Linked DNA regions of Oryctolagus cuniculus. The protein of the gene in region 1 purifies or fractionates together with the protein of each later gene. This does not show direct contact. Links are inferred from orthologs where the notes say so. Each region holds a gene or a part of one and is shown on either strand. Other genes may lie near its edges. The genes, in order: AURKB, SEC16A, PPP6C and G3BP2.

The links.
Region 2: the proteins of AURKB (region 1) and SEC16A purify together in Homo sapiens (affinity purification with mass spectrometry; 3 studies listed by BioGRID and IntAct, with this or other methods). This does not show direct contact. The link is inferred for Oryctolagus cuniculus from reciprocal best matches to the Homo sapiens genes AURKB and SEC16A.
Region 3: the proteins of AURKB (region 1) and PPP6C purify together in Homo sapiens (affinity purification with mass spectrometry, with the first as the bait; 3 studies listed by BioGRID). This does not show direct contact. The link is inferred for Oryctolagus cuniculus from reciprocal best matches to the Homo sapiens genes AURKB and PPP6C.
Region 4: the proteins of AURKB (region 1) and G3BP2 purify together in Homo sapiens (affinity purification with mass spectrometry; 3 studies listed by BioGRID and IntAct, with this or other methods). This does not show direct contact. The link is inferred for Oryctolagus cuniculus from reciprocal best matches to the Homo sapiens genes AURKB and G3BP2.

What each region holds. Positions count from the first base shown.
Region 1 is NC_091448.1:52,688,586-52,693,399, forward strand, and holds the start of AURKB (aurora kinase B), read right to left. Parts: upstream 2,898-4,814; 5' UTR 2,813-2,897; intron 2,549-2,812; exon of another isoform or gene 2,526-2,548; 5' UTR 2,501-2,525; coding exon 2,453-2,500; intron 1,076-2,452; coding exon 973-1,075; intron 870-972; coding exon 818-869; intron 652-817; coding exon 460-651; intron 335-459; coding exon 196-334; intron 87-195; coding exon 1-86. UniProt on the Homo sapiens protein: Serine/threonine-protein kinase component of the chromosomal passenger complex (CPC), a complex that acts as a key regulator of mitosis.
Region 2 is NC_091432.1:236,597,916-236,602,003, reverse strand, and holds part of SEC16A (protein transport protein Sec16A), read right to left. Parts: intron 2,324-4,088; 5' UTR 2,248-2,323; coding exon 1-2,247. UniProt on the Homo sapiens protein: Acts as a molecular scaffold that plays a key role in the organization of the endoplasmic reticulum exit sites (ERES), also known as transitional endoplasmic reticulum (tER).
Region 3 is NC_091432.1:228,970,499-228,973,850, reverse strand, and holds part of PPP6C (serine/threonine-protein phosphatase 6 catalytic subunit), read left to right. Parts: intron 1-1,489; coding exon 1,490-1,569; intron 1,570-1,746; coding exon 1,747-1,956; intron 1,957-2,753; coding exon 2,754-3,002; 3' UTR 3,003-3,352.
Region 4 is NC_091439.1:90,185,954-90,190,783, reverse strand, and holds the start of G3BP2 (ras GTPase-activating protein-binding protein 2), read right to left. Parts: upstream 3,026-4,830; 5' UTR 2,813-3,025; intron 2,710-2,812; 5' UTR 2,591-2,709; exon of another isoform or gene 2,525-2,590; intron 1-2,524. Other genes in the region: USO1 (general vesicular transport factor p115), read left to right, coding at 3,337-3,402.

The DNA.
Region 1 (4,814 bases):
AGGAGCAGGTTCTCCGGCTTGATGTCCCTGTGAATCACTTTCTTCTCGTGGCAGTAGCGCAGGGCATCTGCCAGCTCCTCCATGATCTGGGAGGGCGGGGACAGGCAGTCAGACAAGGACAGCCCCGCGGCCACAGGCAGCGTGCCCCCAGCCTCAAGCCCCCAGCCGGGGTCCCAGGTGCCCACCCGCCCCGACCGTGGCTGTTCGCTGCTCGTCAAAAGTGCGGCTTTTCTGCAGCTCCTTGTACAGCTCGCCGCGCGGGGCGTACTCCAGGATCAGGTAGATTCTCCTCCGGTCGTAGAAATAGTTGTAGAGACGCAGAATGTTGGGATGCCTGCAGCAGGAGACAGGAGGCCTCAGGCCACATCCGGGCATAAAGGGAAGATGATAGGGCCCAGGCTGGGGAACTGGACCCAGCTCTCAGGGGCCACAGTCTGGACTCCCGGGGCGGGGGCGTACTGCAGGTGCGCCTGGATCTCGATCTCCCTGCGCAGCTGGTGCTCCACACCCTCTTTCTCGATCTGAGACTTGAAGAGGACCTTGAGTGCCACGATGAAATGGCTCTTCTTCTCCCGGGCCAAGTACACGTTTCCAAATTTGCCTTTGCCCAGAGGACGGCCGATCTCGAAGTCGTCGATGGTGAAGGGCCGCCTGCTCAGCAAGTGGGGGACACAGCTCAGCGCCGGCCTGCCGGGCAGCCCAGGAGTCTGCTTTCTCCCCACTCCCTCAGCCCCCCCACCTCCACCGCGGCTCCCCCACTTCTGCCGGTCCCAGGCCGTCCCTTCCCGCTGGCCACCTCCAGGCTGGGAGCACTCACGTGAAGTTGGGTGCCCCACTGCTGTTCTCCATCCCCTTCTGCCCAAGGACAGCTAAGGAGAGAGCGGGAGAGGTGAGACCCTGCTGGGACATCCTCCCTACCCGTCCCGTAGACTCCAGCTCCCCAGTCCCTGCTTTCCCTCCTGGGCCACTTGCCTGTGGGCGGGGCGTTGGAGCGGTTCATGAGGACAAGGGCAGAGGGGGTGGCAGCCTCCTTCCGCAGGATTCTCTGAGGCAGAGTGTTCAGGCCAGACTGAGGCTAAGGAGGAGAAGGCGGAGCGCCAGGGCGCCTTTGTCCCAGGGACCCGGCTGGAATGTGCCGCGAGCAGCTTTTCTGCTCCTGCCTAAACAGCTTCCCACGTGCTGTCCACCCCCAGTGCTGAGAAAAACCCTGATACGACAGTTTTGGCCTCCAGCCCCAAGACTCTGTTCAGAGTCTCATGTTAAAATGGGTTATTAATCCTCTGCCTGCGGCGCCGGCACACCAGGTTCTAGTCCCGGTCAGGGCGCCGGATTCTGTCCCGGTTGCGCCTCTTCCAGGCCAGCTCTCTGCTGTGGCCAGGGAGTGCAGTGGAGGATGGCCCAAGTGCTTGGGCCCTGCACCCCACGGGAGACCAGGAGAAGCACCTGGCTCCTGGCTTCGGATCAGCGCGGTGCACCGGCCACAGCGTGCCGGCCGTGGCGGCCATTGGAGGGTGAACCAAAGGCAAAAGGAAGACCTTTCTCTCTGTCTCTCTCTCTCTCTCTTACTGTCCACTCTGCCTAGAGGTGGGGCAGGGGGCGGCACTGGTGCAGCGGGTAAAGCCACCTGCAGTGCCAGCATCCCATATGGGCCCTCCACTTCCCATCCAGCTCCCTACTCATACATCTGGGAAAGCAGTGGAGGATGGCCCAAGTGCTTGGGCCCCTGCACCGGTGTGGGAGACCCAGAGGAAGCTCCTGGCTCCGGCCTGGCCCAGCTCTGCCTGTCACGAGCATTTGAGGAGTGAACCAGCGGATGGAAGAACTCTCTCTCTCTGTATCTTTCAAATAAATAAATAAATCCTTAAAAAATAATAATAATAACCCAAGTGGGCCAAAAACAGGGGACTCCTCCCCAACACCTAACATTTCACCTCCTTGGCCCTGGCCTGTGCCACCGTCTCAGGCATGACTGTCTAGTCTGTGTAGTCCTGTCCATGACACCGCACCGGCTCCCCCAACCCTCACACCAGGGGCCAGGTGAGGGCCTGGTCAACCAACCCCACAGCGTCAGCACACTGGCAAGCTCAGCCGATTAGAGCTTAGATGAGGCCAGGGAGGCAGCCAATGCCACTTCAGGACAGACTTCTTCCTTTTGGCAGTGACAATGGCGGCTCATTCAGACCCGCTCTTAATGGCCTCGCTCAGTGCTCCGCGAGGGAGGCAGCCGGCGCACAGGGGAGACATGGACCCTCCACCACCAGACCAGAACCAAAGCCTCACCAATAGACGGCACAAGTTCAGCCGGAAGGAGGCGGCTCCGGGGGCCCTGAAAACCTGCTTCCCAACAGTGATCGACGCATGGCCAAGTGGAACAAAACACGCTTAGGGCATAAGGGGGCAGGCGGTGCCGAGGGGGTGGTCCAGCGCGTCCCGCGGGGCGGGGTGGCCTTACCGTGGGTCGGCTGTAGGGCCAGGGGTAGGCGTTCTCCTTCTGGGCCATCCTCACGGGGTAGCGGGGAGGGCGCCTGGGCGGAGAAGGGAAAGAGTCCTGAGAAGCAGAAAGGGGAATTAAAAAAAAAAAAAAAAAAAAAAAAACCAGCGGTGGGATCGGATGGATCCAGCCAGAAGCGCCGTCCGGGCTGGCGAGAGGGCTGGCCACACCCCGGACGCTCGTCCCGCAGCCCCGGCGCCGGGACCCGCCCAGCCCCCTTCCAGGACCCTCTCTCTCCACCCCTGAGCGCTCAGGAGCCCCGCGATCCGCCTGAGCCCCTGGCCGCACCGGGCCGAGGCCCGCGAACGGAGGCCGGCTCACCTGAGGCCGCCGGGAACTACCGAACCTGCCGGGCAGCGCCTCCGCCGAGGCGCTTTCAAATCTCCCGCTCTGGCCCCATTGGCTGCCGGCGCCACCCTCGCCCAATTCTCATTGGATCTCTCACCTATGACGTAGCCAAGGGGACCCAATGGGAACCGCGGAAGGCGAGCCGCCGCCGACTCCGTTCCGGTTTGGGAAAAGTTCCCCCGGTGACCCGGGGAGAGGAGTTTTTGCTTTCTCTTCGTTTTTAAAAGTGTGAATTTTTAATATAAACGGAGACTGTGTGAGCCAGGATCGAAGTTCGTTTCCTTCCGGGCCGCCGATGCCGGCACCGTGGGTGAAGCGAGCTGCCCCGGTTCCCAGCGGGATTTAAACGCGGGCCTTGGGTCCCCGTGCGGGGGGACCGGGTCTTCAAACCCGAACAAAGGTGCATCGAGTAGCTGCAGGCGCTAGCCAGGAAGAAACGGCGACTGTGGCCTGGGCCGAGTGTCCTCTCCTGCCTGCCACGGGCTGAGTGACGGGTGGAAGTGGTGAGCCTGGTGAGCAAGGCAGGCGTTCGGTGCCTCGCGTCTACACTGGCGGCAGCCAGAGGCCCGCTGTCCCCGTGCGGGGCAGGCTTGGCAGTAGGTAGGGTAGTCCAGGAGGAGCAGCAAGCCGGGTTCCTGCATGGGGCCGCGGCTCCCACCAGGATGCTGTGGGACTTCAGGCCTGAGTTAAGGTGTTAACCGACACTCACGAATGCAAAATGGCGGTGGCTGAGACCCTCCAGGGGCAAAGGCTCGGGGCGACCAGCGAAGGAGGTGTTTGCTGAAATTAGAGGGTAATATGGAAGGGGTAGCGGGAAGGTGGTTATAGATACCAGCTACGACCTTGTGACCAGCTGCGGAAATAATGAGTGTGATTCTCATGTGCACTTCTTCCTATTTTGTTATGGGTGTGTGTGTGTGAGAGAGAGAGACATGTAGGCGAGAAGACGGATTGCCTCTTTGCGTCTTCTTATAGAATAACTAACGCAAGTCAGGGGCTCGAGTTTGGATGGGCAGCGAGGGCAGCGGGCGTGTCGGGGGCTAGCCTCACACCCTCTCCTGTCCGCCTCCGTCTCGCTCTATAGGACGCCCTAGACATTGGGACCACTCTGGCAGGAGGAGGGCCAGGGGCGACGGAGCGGAGGGGAGCGGAGGGCAAGGCCCAGGTTCCAGCCTGGACAGCGGGTGCCGTGTGGACGGCGGGGAGGTAGGACACATTCCTTGCCAGCCACCCAAGCCTGCCTCACCAGCAAAGGCACTATCAGTCAAGGAAAGAGATGGCAAGAAAAGGAGGGCCAGGCTCGCTGGGCGCTGGGCGGCCGGGCTGCATTTCTTTGTTTTTCTGTTGTTTACTTTCAGCGTAGTAGAAGCAAGGAGATACATACGCCTCCAGGCTAGCGCCCTCTGAGAAATCTGGAGACAGCTAACAGTAGTATTTAATGCCTTGTGTTCCATGCTAAGTTGACAAAGATAGAGCATCAGAGATCATTGAAAACACTTAAAAAACGTGGACCCGAATTCTGAACACAAGAAAAAAAATTATTAAAAAGAGCAAAATAATGAATAGATCACCTTTGGGAAAGTCGTACGGCCCTTTGGACAGCAGCAGTTGGCAGTTCAGCTAAGGGGACCTTTTACTTGGGAACTTGGAAGTTTCAGGAATTTATGCCACAAACCTAATTCGGTAGGGGCAGAGTAAAAATGAATCACAAAGATGCTCAGGGCAACCTTTTAAATACTAAGAAAAAAAGTGCAGATCATCAGAAAACCAAACTACCGAGCTGTGGAAGAGCTGTTTAAGAATTCGCAGAACTGCCATCAGACGTTAGGTGGCCATTAAAAAGATAAGGACTGTAGAGCTATATTTTATTGCATTGAATGACATTAACCGAGGACAAGTTACGGGCACCACTGACAAGTAGGTAAATCGCCAAAAATGAAAACAGTGATTAGGAGAATGATGTGAGTATTATTGC
Region 2 (4,088 bases), on another chromosome or scaffold:
GGGCGCCAGGAGGACATTGCCTCCGAAGTCCGGCAGCTCGTTCTGCGCCCACAGCGTCGTGGCCGGGCTCTCACACTTCGCGACGCCCTGAGCCCTGGCCGAGGGCCTCTTCTCGGGGGCATGCGAGGACGGCGCCCCCGGGGGCGGGAGCACGTGGCCGGCTTCCACGCTGGCGCTCCGAGGTGGCAGACCGACCTGAGGGGCAAAGAGGGTCTCCATGTTGTCGGGGGGCTGCTCCAGGTTGCCAGGCGAGGCATCGGGCGGCGTGGCGGCCGGCTTGCACTTCTGATGGGCAGGGGTCTCCCTCACTTCACCCACCACGTTGGCTCGATCTGCCTCCATTGGTCTCACCCCCACCAAGTGGGATTTTACCGGTTCGAAAGAGCTGTTTGCACTTGTCTGGAACACCCCCACGGGCTTGGGCGGGCTGGGGGTCGGGGGCGGCTGGGCCAGGCCGCCGCGGTGACTCTGCCGCACAGCGCCATCTGCTGTCTCTCCGCCCACGGGAGAAGAATCGATCTGCTGGAAGAAGCTGCCGGACGCCTCCTCCTCGGGCTTCCCGACTTCCTGCTGGATGAATGTGCCCGCCAGCTCCTGGGGCCGGGCCGATCCCGAGCGCCTCCCGTGGCTCGCACCGCTGTGCCCACAGGACAGGCCGTCTGGCCGCACGGGGGGCGACGCCGCGTCCGGGGCCTCCAGATTCACGCCCCCTCCTCCAGCGAGGCCCGCAGTGCCGGGCCTGGGGACAGCGCACCCGGGAAGGGGCCCGAATCGGAACGGATCCCCCAGGCAGGCGTCGGCCACGCTCGGGGGCTCACTCGGCAGAACTTCCTGATTCTGAGCGAACTCCAGGTTCTCGTCGTCGTCGTACCGGGAGCCACTGGCCCCGGGCCTCTCGGCGTTCGCCGCATCGCCCAGCGCACCACGGGCAGCGTGGTCAGGGGCTGCGGTGTCGGGCTGGAAGCCTTCAGGCTGAGGGAAGTGAGGCTGCGTGTCTCCCCGCTGCTGCACGCTCTCGCCGTGGGGACCTTTGAGAAAGGCCTGGCGCGTGGCCCCTGCTCCCACGTGGGCAGCGGTGGCTGGGTGGCCCAGTCCAGGGCTGGGGGACAGCCCGTCAAAGGCCGAGGTGCCGGCACAGCCTGCTTGTTCAGATGAGAGGTTCTCCTCATTTTCAGTCTCCCCACTCTGGAAAAACATCGAGAGCGCGCCCGAGTCTGCGTCGGGCAGCACCCAGCCGGCCCCCGCGGCCGGGGCGCAGTGCAGGCGGTCCTGCGGGCTGTTCTGAGCAGGGGTGCTCACGAGGGCCGCGCCGGTCACTCCCGGATTCTGCCGGAGCTCCTGCTTTGCCCAGGTATTTGCAACTCTGCAATTCTGCCCGAACGCGCCTTCAGGACGGACGCCGTGTGCTGAGTGGTTTCGGCCCTGCGGGCAGGCCGGCTCGTTGCTCCCGTCGCCGGCCGCGGGCGCTGGGCCGTGCTGCTCGGGGCCGGGACCTCGAGGCTGGCCGGGCGGCGGGGGGAGCGGGAGGACGCCAGCATTCTGAAGCGACCCTTCCGAGCAGGGCGAGTGAGGCTGGCCGGCGGGCCGCGGGCCCCCCTGCGCCTGCCCCCACTGCTCTGGCCCCTGCTGACAAGGCTGGGGGAAGGAGGCGGCGGCCGTGGCTGTCCCCACACTGGCGTGCAGGTCGTGCCCGCTGGGGGGCCGGTCAAGCCATGGCATGGTCCCACGCGCAGGGGCCCCGTGAGACTCGTCAGGACCCACTCCTGGAATGCAGTGAGGCGGATACGGCAGAGTCTGGACGCCAGGCTCCGAGCCGGGACCAAGCTCTGCATTCCTGTTCACCTCCGACCCAGGCAACACCGAGGCCGGCACACTAGGAAACAGACTGGCGTCTGCTCTGGGCTGCGCCAGAGGCCCCGGCGGGGGCTCCCAGGGTGCTTGGGAGCTGTCCCCGGCATCTGTGTGCGGCACGGGCACGCCGGGGTACTGGGCGAGCCCTGAGGGCACCGGGCCCTGGACACCGGGCAGGCCGGCCCTGGACGCCGCGCCTGCTGGGCCGCTCTGCAGCGCCTGTCTGCTAAAGACAAAGGGGTCCGTCACGGGCTGCGGGGGACAGGCGGCTGGGGCCACGGCGCTGCCGCCCGCCCGTCTCCTGTACGGGCTGTGCGCCCAGAGCACGCTGTGAGGACTGCCGGCCGGAGGAGGCCCAGCGGCGCCGGGCGGGACTGCCTGGGGCGGTGGCTGCATGGCTGAGCTCCGGCACAGGTGGGCGCCGCTCACAGGAGGAGGAGGACGACGCGGACCAGCACTTCCTCAACGTGAACTGCAAGAGAAAAAGAGGCACAAAGTCACCACGCCCCCGTCTACACCGACACCTGACGCACTCCACATCCCCATCTACACCGACACCCGACGCACTCCACGTCCCATCACCACGTCCCCGTCTACACCGACACCCGACGCACTCCACGTCCCATCACCACGCCCCCGTCTACACCGACACCCGACGCACTCCACATCCCCATCTACACCGACACCCGACGCACTCCACGTCCCATCACCACGTCCCCGTCTACACCGACACCCGACGCACTCCACGTCCCCGTCTACACCGACACCCGACGCACTCCACGTCCCAGGGGCCCCTGGGAAGACACACGGACACAGACTGAGGTGTTCACACGCCAAGCCCCACCCCTCTGCCCACTGCACCCGGCCAAGCTGCCGGGGCCCCCTGGGAGGAGGCAGGGTGGCCGCCAGCGGCAGAGCAGGTTCCCTGCTGGCGTCGCTCACCCTCTGGTGCTCCCGCGCCCGGCAGGGCCAGCGGCTCCAACACCCCTCCCGACGCCCCCCCCACAAGGTGCGCCGGGCCGACACGTTCCTGTAGACCACCCCCTCCTCCCCCAACAGAGAGAAACGGCTCAGCACCCTTCGCACACGGGGACTTCAAGTCCCACAGGACAGACAAGGTCGTGGGCACCCGGCCGAGGCGCTAGGACCGTTCACTGCCCACAGCCGGGCGCCTGGTGCGACCCCGGGCTCGGGCCCTGGGAGGCAGCAGCGGGAGCTCGAGTGACTGCCGGCACCCCGGGGACAGCGGACGGCAGGCGTGCAAGCTGTGCCGCTGCCAGGAGCAGACCTGCCAGCCGGGAGAACCCTCCCTCTCCCCACGTCAGAGGCCTCCTCTCGCCCGGCCCTCGGCTGCCCCACCCTGGGGTTCTCACGGCACCCGGAAACTCGAGCGGCAGAGAGCGGCTGGGCCTGCCAGGCCGCCCGCGTCCGACCTGGGTTCACCCAGGACCTACAGAGCGCGCAGCCTCCCCGCCGGCGCCTGTGTCCACTAACGTGGGGCAGGCTCGGCCTCCACCGACCGCCCGGACGTCCGCAACCCGCGTCTGGGCCCCCAGATCCACAAAGTCCTTTTCCCCGTCAGCCGCTCAGAGAGATCAGAGCCGGGGGGGCTCCTGGCGGGGCCCGGGGCTGCCGCCCACCCCGACAGCCGTCCAGACGCGTGCACAGACGGCAGCCACGGACGCCTCAAGTGAACCTACCCGTGGCCCCGCTCCTCCTAACCCGCCGCTCACCCCCGGCCCGCCCTCCCTGGCTGAGAGCACAGAGCAATGGCTGGGCCAGAGCAAGCAGCGCGCTCAGCGACCCCTCAGGGGGGCTGGACAGCCGGACACCCCCCCCGCAGACGCCTGACACTGCCCCCCCCGCAGACGGCCTGCCACCGCCCCCCCCGCAGACGCCTGACACTGCCCCCCACACACACTGTAGATGGACACCCCCCCCCCGCAGACGGCCTGACACCGCCCCCACACACACTGTAGATGGACACCCCCCCCCGCAGACGGCCTGACACCGCCCCCACACACACTGTAGACGGACACCCCCCCCCCCCCCCGCAGACGGCCTGACCCCGCCCCCCCAGCCTGCCGCCAGGCGCCGGCGTCCCAGGTCCGCGGGTCACTGCTGGGCAAGGACTTTCCCCTGGGCAGGCGTCGGCACAAGACCCTGAACCATTCCAGCGGGGTCTGCTTTAAACAACCAGGCAGGGCACCGGCCTCGTCCAGCGGAGCGGTCAGCGC
Region 3 (3,352 bases), on another chromosome or scaffold:
TGGTACTCTGTTATAGAATGCATGCATCCTAAGCTTCATCTTTGAAAAAATATTTATTTTTTCATCTGATTGAAAGGTGGAGAGAGATCTCTTTCATCTGCTATTTCATTCCCCAAATGCCCAGGGCTGGGCTGGGCTGGGTCAGGCCAGGCCAGAGCTAGAAGCCCATAACTCCATCCAGGTTTCCAGGTTTCCCACATGCATGGCAGGGGCACATGCACTTGAACCACCATCTGCTGCCCCCAGGACGTTTCAGCAGGAAGCTGGATTGGAAGCAGAGTAGCTAGGACTCAAACCCTCACTCTGGCCTGGGCACACACATGGCCCAAGTGGCAACTGAACTGGCTGCCCACAACACCTTCCTCCTAAGGAGCATCTTTTTTATTTATTTTATTTTATTTTATTTTATTTATTTTTTTTTTTTTTTGACAGGCAGAGTGGACAGTGAGAGAGAGAGACAGAGAGAAAGGTCTTCCTTTGCCGTTGGTTCACCCTCCAATGGCCGCCGCGGTCGGCGCGCTGCGGCTGGCGCACCGCGCTGATCCGATGACAGGAGCCAGGAGCCAGGTGCTTATCCTGGTCTCCCATGGGGTGCAGGGCCCAAGCACCTGGGCCATCCTCCACTGCACTCCCTGGCCACAGCAGAGGGCTGGCCTGGAAGAGGGGCGACCGGGACAGAATCCGGCGCCCCGACCGGGACTAGAACCCGGTGTGCCGGCGCCGCTAGGTGGAGGATTAGCCTAGTGAGCCGCGGCGCCGGCCCCTAAGGAGCATCTTAACTGCTACACCAAAACCTTCTTAGATTTTTTTTTTTTTATTAAGAAACTGCATAGCAAAGGTTGATAGTGTTTATTAAAAGAACAGATATGTATCCTGTCAACAACATAGCAGAGAGGATTCAGCTGGGAATATATCAAAATCTGATGAACAGTCTGTCTTCAGCAAGGCCAACAAGTGTACCTAGTGAGTTAAGTGTTTACTTGTACAGTTTACAGAAAATCTCGGAGCAGACAACTTGGGCCTGAGAAATGTTGAGCTAGGAATTACTCATGCTTCTATAATTATGGATCTTCTAATTTATTTGATTTGATTATCCTGCTGTAATAAGGTAGTCACATTAAATAAATTAATCTGTTTGATGAAATTGCCTAATATTAACATAACTGCCAAAAGTGTTTGCTTTAGGTTGCGTGAAATTAGTTTTTAGCTCTTCCTGATGATAGCATTTTGGCCAATAATTTCAGCTGCTTCTTAGGGCCATTTCTGGAATGAAAAGCAAGACCATATCCTTAAGACATACACACACACACACACACACACACTCAGAGATAGGTGCTGTATGTAGAGCCAAGTATGTGTCATAATTTGCCATCCCAGTTTAAGCTGAATTTCTTTTGTACTTAAGACTGCTCTAGTACTGGATACATTGTTTATTTTTATCAGCAAACTCAGAGCTTCATTAATGAGAATTTTTCTTTTTCTTTCACAGATGAGTGCCAAACCAAATATGGAAATGCTAATGCCTGGAGATACTGTACCAAAGTTTTCGACATGCTCACAGTAGCAGCTGTAGGTTTTTATGAATCTTTTTAAAAACCTCAACTGTTTTCCTGTCAGTGACTTACTACATATTTTTATCTGATGGTCATGTCAGTTATATTGATATCTTTAGCATTCATTGATGAATTTAGATATGGCTGAGTTTATTATACATTCACCTCTTTATTGTTTTTTTCTTTTTGCTAGTTAATAGATGAGCAGATTTTGTGTGTTCATGGTGGTTTATCTCCTGATATCAAAACACTGGATCAGATTCGAACTATCGAGCGGAATCAGGAAATCCCTCATAAAGGAGCGTTCTGTGACCTGGTCTGGTCGGACCCTGAGGATGTGGACACCTGGGCGATCAGCCCCCGAGGAGCAGGCTGGCTTTTTGGAGCAAAGGTCACAAATGAGGTAAAGTCAACATTTTTGGAAAAATAGTTTGTTGGTTGCTAATGGACTGTGTACAGAATTATGTTGGCCTTAGAAAGCAAATTTGTAGTCTAGTTTCCTCCAACTGTGGGCGCTATGGATATCCCATTTCTAGTCTGGTTTATTCACACATACCTTTCCATAGTGGTTAATTGTGAAAGCTCCTACTCCAGGGTCCACCTGTGCTGTGTATACAGTAAGTGCTCCTTTCCTTTCAAATGTGGCAGTTAAATACACGACAGCATGGGCAAGACAGGCAACTTTTTGAAGGTCAACTGTTTTCAGTTAAACGCACACATGTGCACACATGGGATGATGGCATTTTGGGAAGGCTTCCGCATAATGGAGGCGTGGGTTGAGTCCATCAGTGGAACTTGGGTATGCTGTTTATCCAGGCTCAGCCTTTGTTTCCTCAAGTTGCAAAAGAAGGATAATTATTTCAAGAACTATATATACTGCATTCTCAGTAACTGATATTATATTGATACAAATATTTCTTATTAACTGTAAAAGTGAAACTGTTCCTATACGGTAGTACTCATCTAACTCTTCCAGAAACATCAAATTATGTGGCTGTATGATGTCTGTAGCTCTGTAATTGCTTCAGGCCAAAGTGACTGTGCCTGATGTATTGAAATTTTACAGGGATAATTATAGAACAGGTTGTAAAATTATGGGAACTTCAGCAGAATTCGATATTTTAAATGATTGTACCTTATATCTTATAGGCCACATTCAAAAGATTTTCTGAATGCTTACAAAGTTTTTCTGAATTGCAGTTTGTTCATATCAACAACCTAAAACTCATCTGCAGAGCACATCAACTAGTGCATGAAGGCTATAAATTTATGTTTGATGAAAAGCTGGTAACAGTATGGTCTGCTCCTAATTACTGCTATCGTTGTGGAAATATTGCTTCAATCATGGTCTTCAAAGATGTAAATACAAGAGAACCAAAGTTATTCCGGGCAGTTCCAGATTCAGAACGTGTTATCCCTCCCAGAACGACGACGCCGTATTTCCTTTGAGGCCTTCGCCCATCCTGCTGACCCACTTCTCTACCCTCTTCTTCCCCCGACTCTCTCGTATTACCCTCTGCAGTATACTTTTTATTGAGCACTTTGCTGCTGAAATGCTGCCTCTTGCCTTTTTTTGATTTTAAATTATCTGAGTTTATTGTTTGTTATGGTGTCTATAGCAATGTTTTTCTATCAATTTCTCCTCCATCCCATCCCCACCTTGGACTCATTTGAGAAGACTTGAGAAATGTCTTAATACACATACTGCTGCATGTAGCTCTTGCATATTTACTGGTCTGGGGAAACAGGATGTGTTTCCATTTTTAAAAAAGCCAATTGACAATTACACCGAAAACACC
Region 4 (4,830 bases), on another chromosome or scaffold:
GATAAAAAGTACTGAATTAGTCACTAAAGGCCACCACAATACTCCTAAACTAACACTAGCACCTTAAAAAGTTATTCTGAAACCTGGATTCTGGAGTCAGCGAAGCATTGCAGTCTCCCCCTCTATCTCTGCAATCCTGCCTTTCAAATAAATAAACCTTAAAAAAAACTGTACATGATGATGTCTTCCAAACACAAATTATCATTTCTATTACTCCTAAGCAAACACAGAGACTGCTCCACCTCACCACCGCTACCCCCACTAAAAAACAATCTTTTGCAATGATGTTTAATTGTTTTTGCTGAGTTTTCCACTAGAAAGGAAGGTAGGATGGGAAAAGTGAGCCACTGAACAAAGTAATTTTAAAACATAGATTTCACTCCCAATGAATTCTGTTGTCAGGTGTAGTTTAGGAAAACTTAGAAATATAGAAAAATTTAAAAACATTCTAATTTACTCAAAATTTTGAGTTCTATATATTTTAATGGCACATGGCATTCTTATTCTGAATTTATTTATGAAAATCAAAAGAGTAAGTTAGGCAGTAACAGCTCTTTCATGTTGTCTCCTCTTTGACTTATTTAAGAAATGGTTCTTCAGCAATTACCATGCTAAAGGAATTCCATTAGATGATCAAAGGGTACAGCACAGTCCTGAACTGGCCTCTGTATGAGCAGGAGTCACAGAGAACCCCCTTTCTCTTAAGGAAGAAGTCCATTTCAGGGTTGTTCTGCAGTGATGGTGCCTCTGCTCCCCTTCAAGACCCTGACTGGGGACAAATCAGCCACTACACCCTGTCTGTCTCCTTCTGAGGCTGGCGGTTGGGAGCAGCTTGCACCTGCTGTGAGACAGCAGAACCCAGGCGAGACTTGGGGCCAGGGAGCCTGGACAACTCCAGCCTCACCACCTCTGCACCCACTGTCCACTGCTCTTGCCCACAGTCCCTCCCGCCCAGGGGATGCTGCTACGGAAGAAAATAGGTCAAATGAAGGGGAAATTCAGTCAGCTGTTACCACTACATTCACCAACGTTTACAAGTAAACGGCACATTTCAACAAGACCAAAGTGAAGATGCTGTGTTTTATTACTGAGCCGCAGGAACGGTAGCCCTACTCCAGGCCACAGCCTTCTCCCTGACCATGGGGCCGTGAGGTTCAGGGAGCGGTGAGGCTGCGGTGAGACCTGGCCAGTGAAGTTCTTTTAAGTTCTCTGTGCACAGTACTTGGTGACAAAAATGCGGAGCACCGATTGGTTACTTATTTTAGGCTGCAACAAAATGCCCCCATGGAAAATGTCTGAAGCAAAATGTCAAGTGTCTAGTTTTAAAGCAGAGGACAATGCTTAGAACACAGTATTTTTGGCAAGACGATCCCACCCGTTCCCCAAGTCTCCCAGGCTTAAAATCTTGGCACTAGCAAACAAACTTTCACCACAGCCTTTGTGATAACAAGCTCTGTACAAATCTACTTTAGAGATGAAATCGGACCTCCTACTCAGCGCAGTCGTCATGTTCATTCAATTCAATGATTTATTCACTTATCCATCAACACCGCCTTCTATGAGACAACAGTACACCACAGAGACACAAAAATACGAGTCGTGCCCCTAACGGTTCATTAGGCTGTAAGCACTTGCCAGGTGCCCACCATAAATGAGTAACTACAAAGTGCTAGCCTACAGACACACACCCAGATTTCAGGGAGCTTTCCAGGAGATGATGTCCGAGGGGAGCCTTAAGGAACTAGCAGGAGTTGGCCAGGTGAAGAGGGAGGGAGAGGCAGGGCAAACTGCCCCGTGGAGCCTGATCCCAAGAGGCCCGTGCGGTTTGCATTTTATTATAGAGAACCGGGAGCCGCTGGAGGCGTCGGGGAAGAGGAGTGACAGCAACAGCTGTTTGGTGGTTGTCGGGCTCATGCAAGGGTGGACCGGAGCTCGGACTGCAGGGAGGCCAGGCCCGAATGCGGAAAAACTCGTCGGGAGGCTACTGCTTGATCTTAGTGAGAAACTATGTCAGAGGCAGGCGGGATGGAGAGCAGAGGACCTAGTTGAGAAACAGCCTATAAATAGAAACGATCGGGCTTGACTATCGATGGAGCACGGGGCTTTGCACGGGGGCTATTTGCAAAGCCAAAGTCCCACTCTTGCCGGCTTCCTCCCTCTGCCTTGGGCAATTATTTGGATAGTGGGACCAGAGAGCACCGCGGGGCACAGAGCAGAAGCAGTATATTGATTTTCTTTTTCTCGACGGGAGGCTCACAGAGAGGATGAGTTCAATTTTAAACGCTGCACCTGGGACCCACGGGGAATGCAGGGGCTGCGGGCAGCTTGAGCCAGTTAGCTAGGGAGACCCTGCGCTTTCCAGTCTCAGGAAATTCACAGGAGTACTGCAGAAGCATAAGTACCTGGCATACCGACTTGAGAAACAAATGACATTTTGCATTTTTGTAAGAGCCCTGCAAAGGCAAGCTCCGCGCTGCCAAACTGACGCCGCAGAACAATGGACTTGTAATTTCTCTTTTCTTACTCGAGCACGCCAGACGTGGGGTTCGGCGGGCTCGCCTCCTCACAGCACTTGGGAACAGCGGCGTACCTGGTGTCAGATCTAGGAATTCCTCTCCGCGGGTTTGAGGAACAAGCGCTGGGAAAGGCGCCCTCCAGTGGCGCTGGGAGGATGGGGGTCCAGCACCCTTCCCACCACCAAACAAAGCCCTGTGAAGAAATGCGATTGACAGGGATCAGAGGGCCACCACCACGCTGGCGCTGCTAACCCGAAAACCCAAAAGGGAACTCGCAGGGCCCGGGACCCCCTTACCTGTCACGTTGGCCGGAGGAGAATGTCACTTTCGACTCAACAAAACAAGCCCCCGGCTTGATAGCTCGCAGCCGAGTTCCGCTCGGCGGCAATTAAACACCCGGCGAGCCAAAACGCTTAGTCTAATCCGACCCTCTCCAGCCGGCAGGGCCGGGCTTCGACCACGTGGGTGGCTGCGGCCAGCAGGAGCAATCCGCGGAGGGCGGGGCCTGCGGCGGGGGCGGGGCCTCGCGGTGGGCGGGGCCTGGGCGGACCCCTCCCTAGGTGGCTCCTCTCGTCTCCTCTCCCCTTTTGCCTTCGCCCTTCGAGTCGCCACGTAATGCCACGTATCCGCGCATGCGCATCTCGGCCGGTGGTGGCGGCTGTTTCCGGGCTTAGGGGGCAGGAGCGGCCGCGGAGTAGGAGGCGGTGGTGGCGGCGGCCGGGGAGTGCCGAGTGCGGGCTCGGGGCCCCTGCGGAGGGCAGGAGAAGTTGTCTTCTTTTCTTTCCCGAAGAGGCTGTAAAGCCGGTGGCTGGGCGGCAAGATGAATTTCCTCCGCGGGGTGATGGGGGGTCAGAGTGCCGGACCCCAGCACACAGAAGCCGAGACGGTGAGTGGAGCCGTGGGGTCCGGGACTTGGGAAGGGTCCGGGCCAGGACGGGGAACGGAGAGGGCCAGAGGGCCTGGAGGTCGCCTCCCGCGCGTGGGGGACCCACGTGCCGCCTGCCTCTCCTGAGACCCCCCCCCCCCCCGAGCTACTTCCTCACGGCTCCCGCGCAGCCCCCCGCGCGGCGGCTCGGCCGGGCTGACAGCGGCCGCGCCCGCTCGCCCCGCAGGCCCCGCGGCTGGGTGGTCCCGCCCGGGCAGGCACGGATCCGGGCCAGAGGCGGCCCGACCCGCAGCTCCGCGGGCGCTTCCCTCCGCCCCCTTCGTCCGAGCCTCCGCCGGCCGAGAGGAGCCTGAAGCCTGCTCGCTGCCTTCTGTCTGGAAGCGGGGCGCTGGGGAAGACTGCATGGTTTAAAGCCCAGCTGTTGGCGACAGCGTGTGGCTAAGAATAAAACCATGTTCTTTGGGGCACAAAGCCACCTGCTCCCGTCCCGTCAGCTGGGAGGACCGGCCTTAGTTCAGACCCCGGCTTTCCGGGCTCACCCAGGTATGTGTCATGTGTCCAGTGCTGTGTCCACTTTGGAAACACACCTCTCGCTTTCCGTGTGAACAGGATTTGCAAGGACATTTTAAACGTGCGCTGCAGAAAACTGTTTGATAGTTGCCTCCGTGTTAGGTTATGGGATAATCTTAGTTGAAGTGTGGTTCTACTGGAAATGCGTGTGTGTGGCCTCTTTTTAAAAATAAAAATAAACTTTGTGTTTGAGAATAAGCTGAGATCTACAGAAAAGTGGGTGGGGTATGACATTTTAAAGTTTGGATAGACAGCTGTGTTACCCGGATTCTGGAGGGGAGTAAGGGTGGCTTCCATTCGTCCAGCTCTTACCTGGTGCTAGGTCTTTTGCTGAGCTGTTTATCTTCCACATTCTTCTTTAATCCTTAATTACCCTGCAAGATATGTGATGGTAGCCATCCATTACAAATGAAGAAATGAGGCTGAAAGAGGTGAAGTCATGTGATGGAGGTCTTAGACCCGGTGTTCCGTCAAGGTGTGCCTGAACTTCAAAGCTTAGACTTTATTGCTGATGCCCCCTACTTCACTACTTACCTGGGCATTTTGGGGAAATCGGGGTAATATTGTTAAAATTAACTGCTCATCTGGGTTAGAAGTGTTTAAAGCAGAAGTTGGAAGTCCGTGAATCTGTTTCCTTCATTTGAAAATCAGATCTGTCTCTGTCACACAAACACACAGAAAGAGTCTATTTGACCTCCCTTGTCCAGTCCCACACGGCAGCAAGGCAAGGCAGTGAGCCCTGTTGTAACACGGAGTTGTTCTCCCTGGATTACTGTAGCCACAGCCTACCCCCTCAGCCCTGCTTGCATCTCTCCTGTTGGCACTTGTGTTTGAGACCTGTTTGGAAGAGTGATTTAT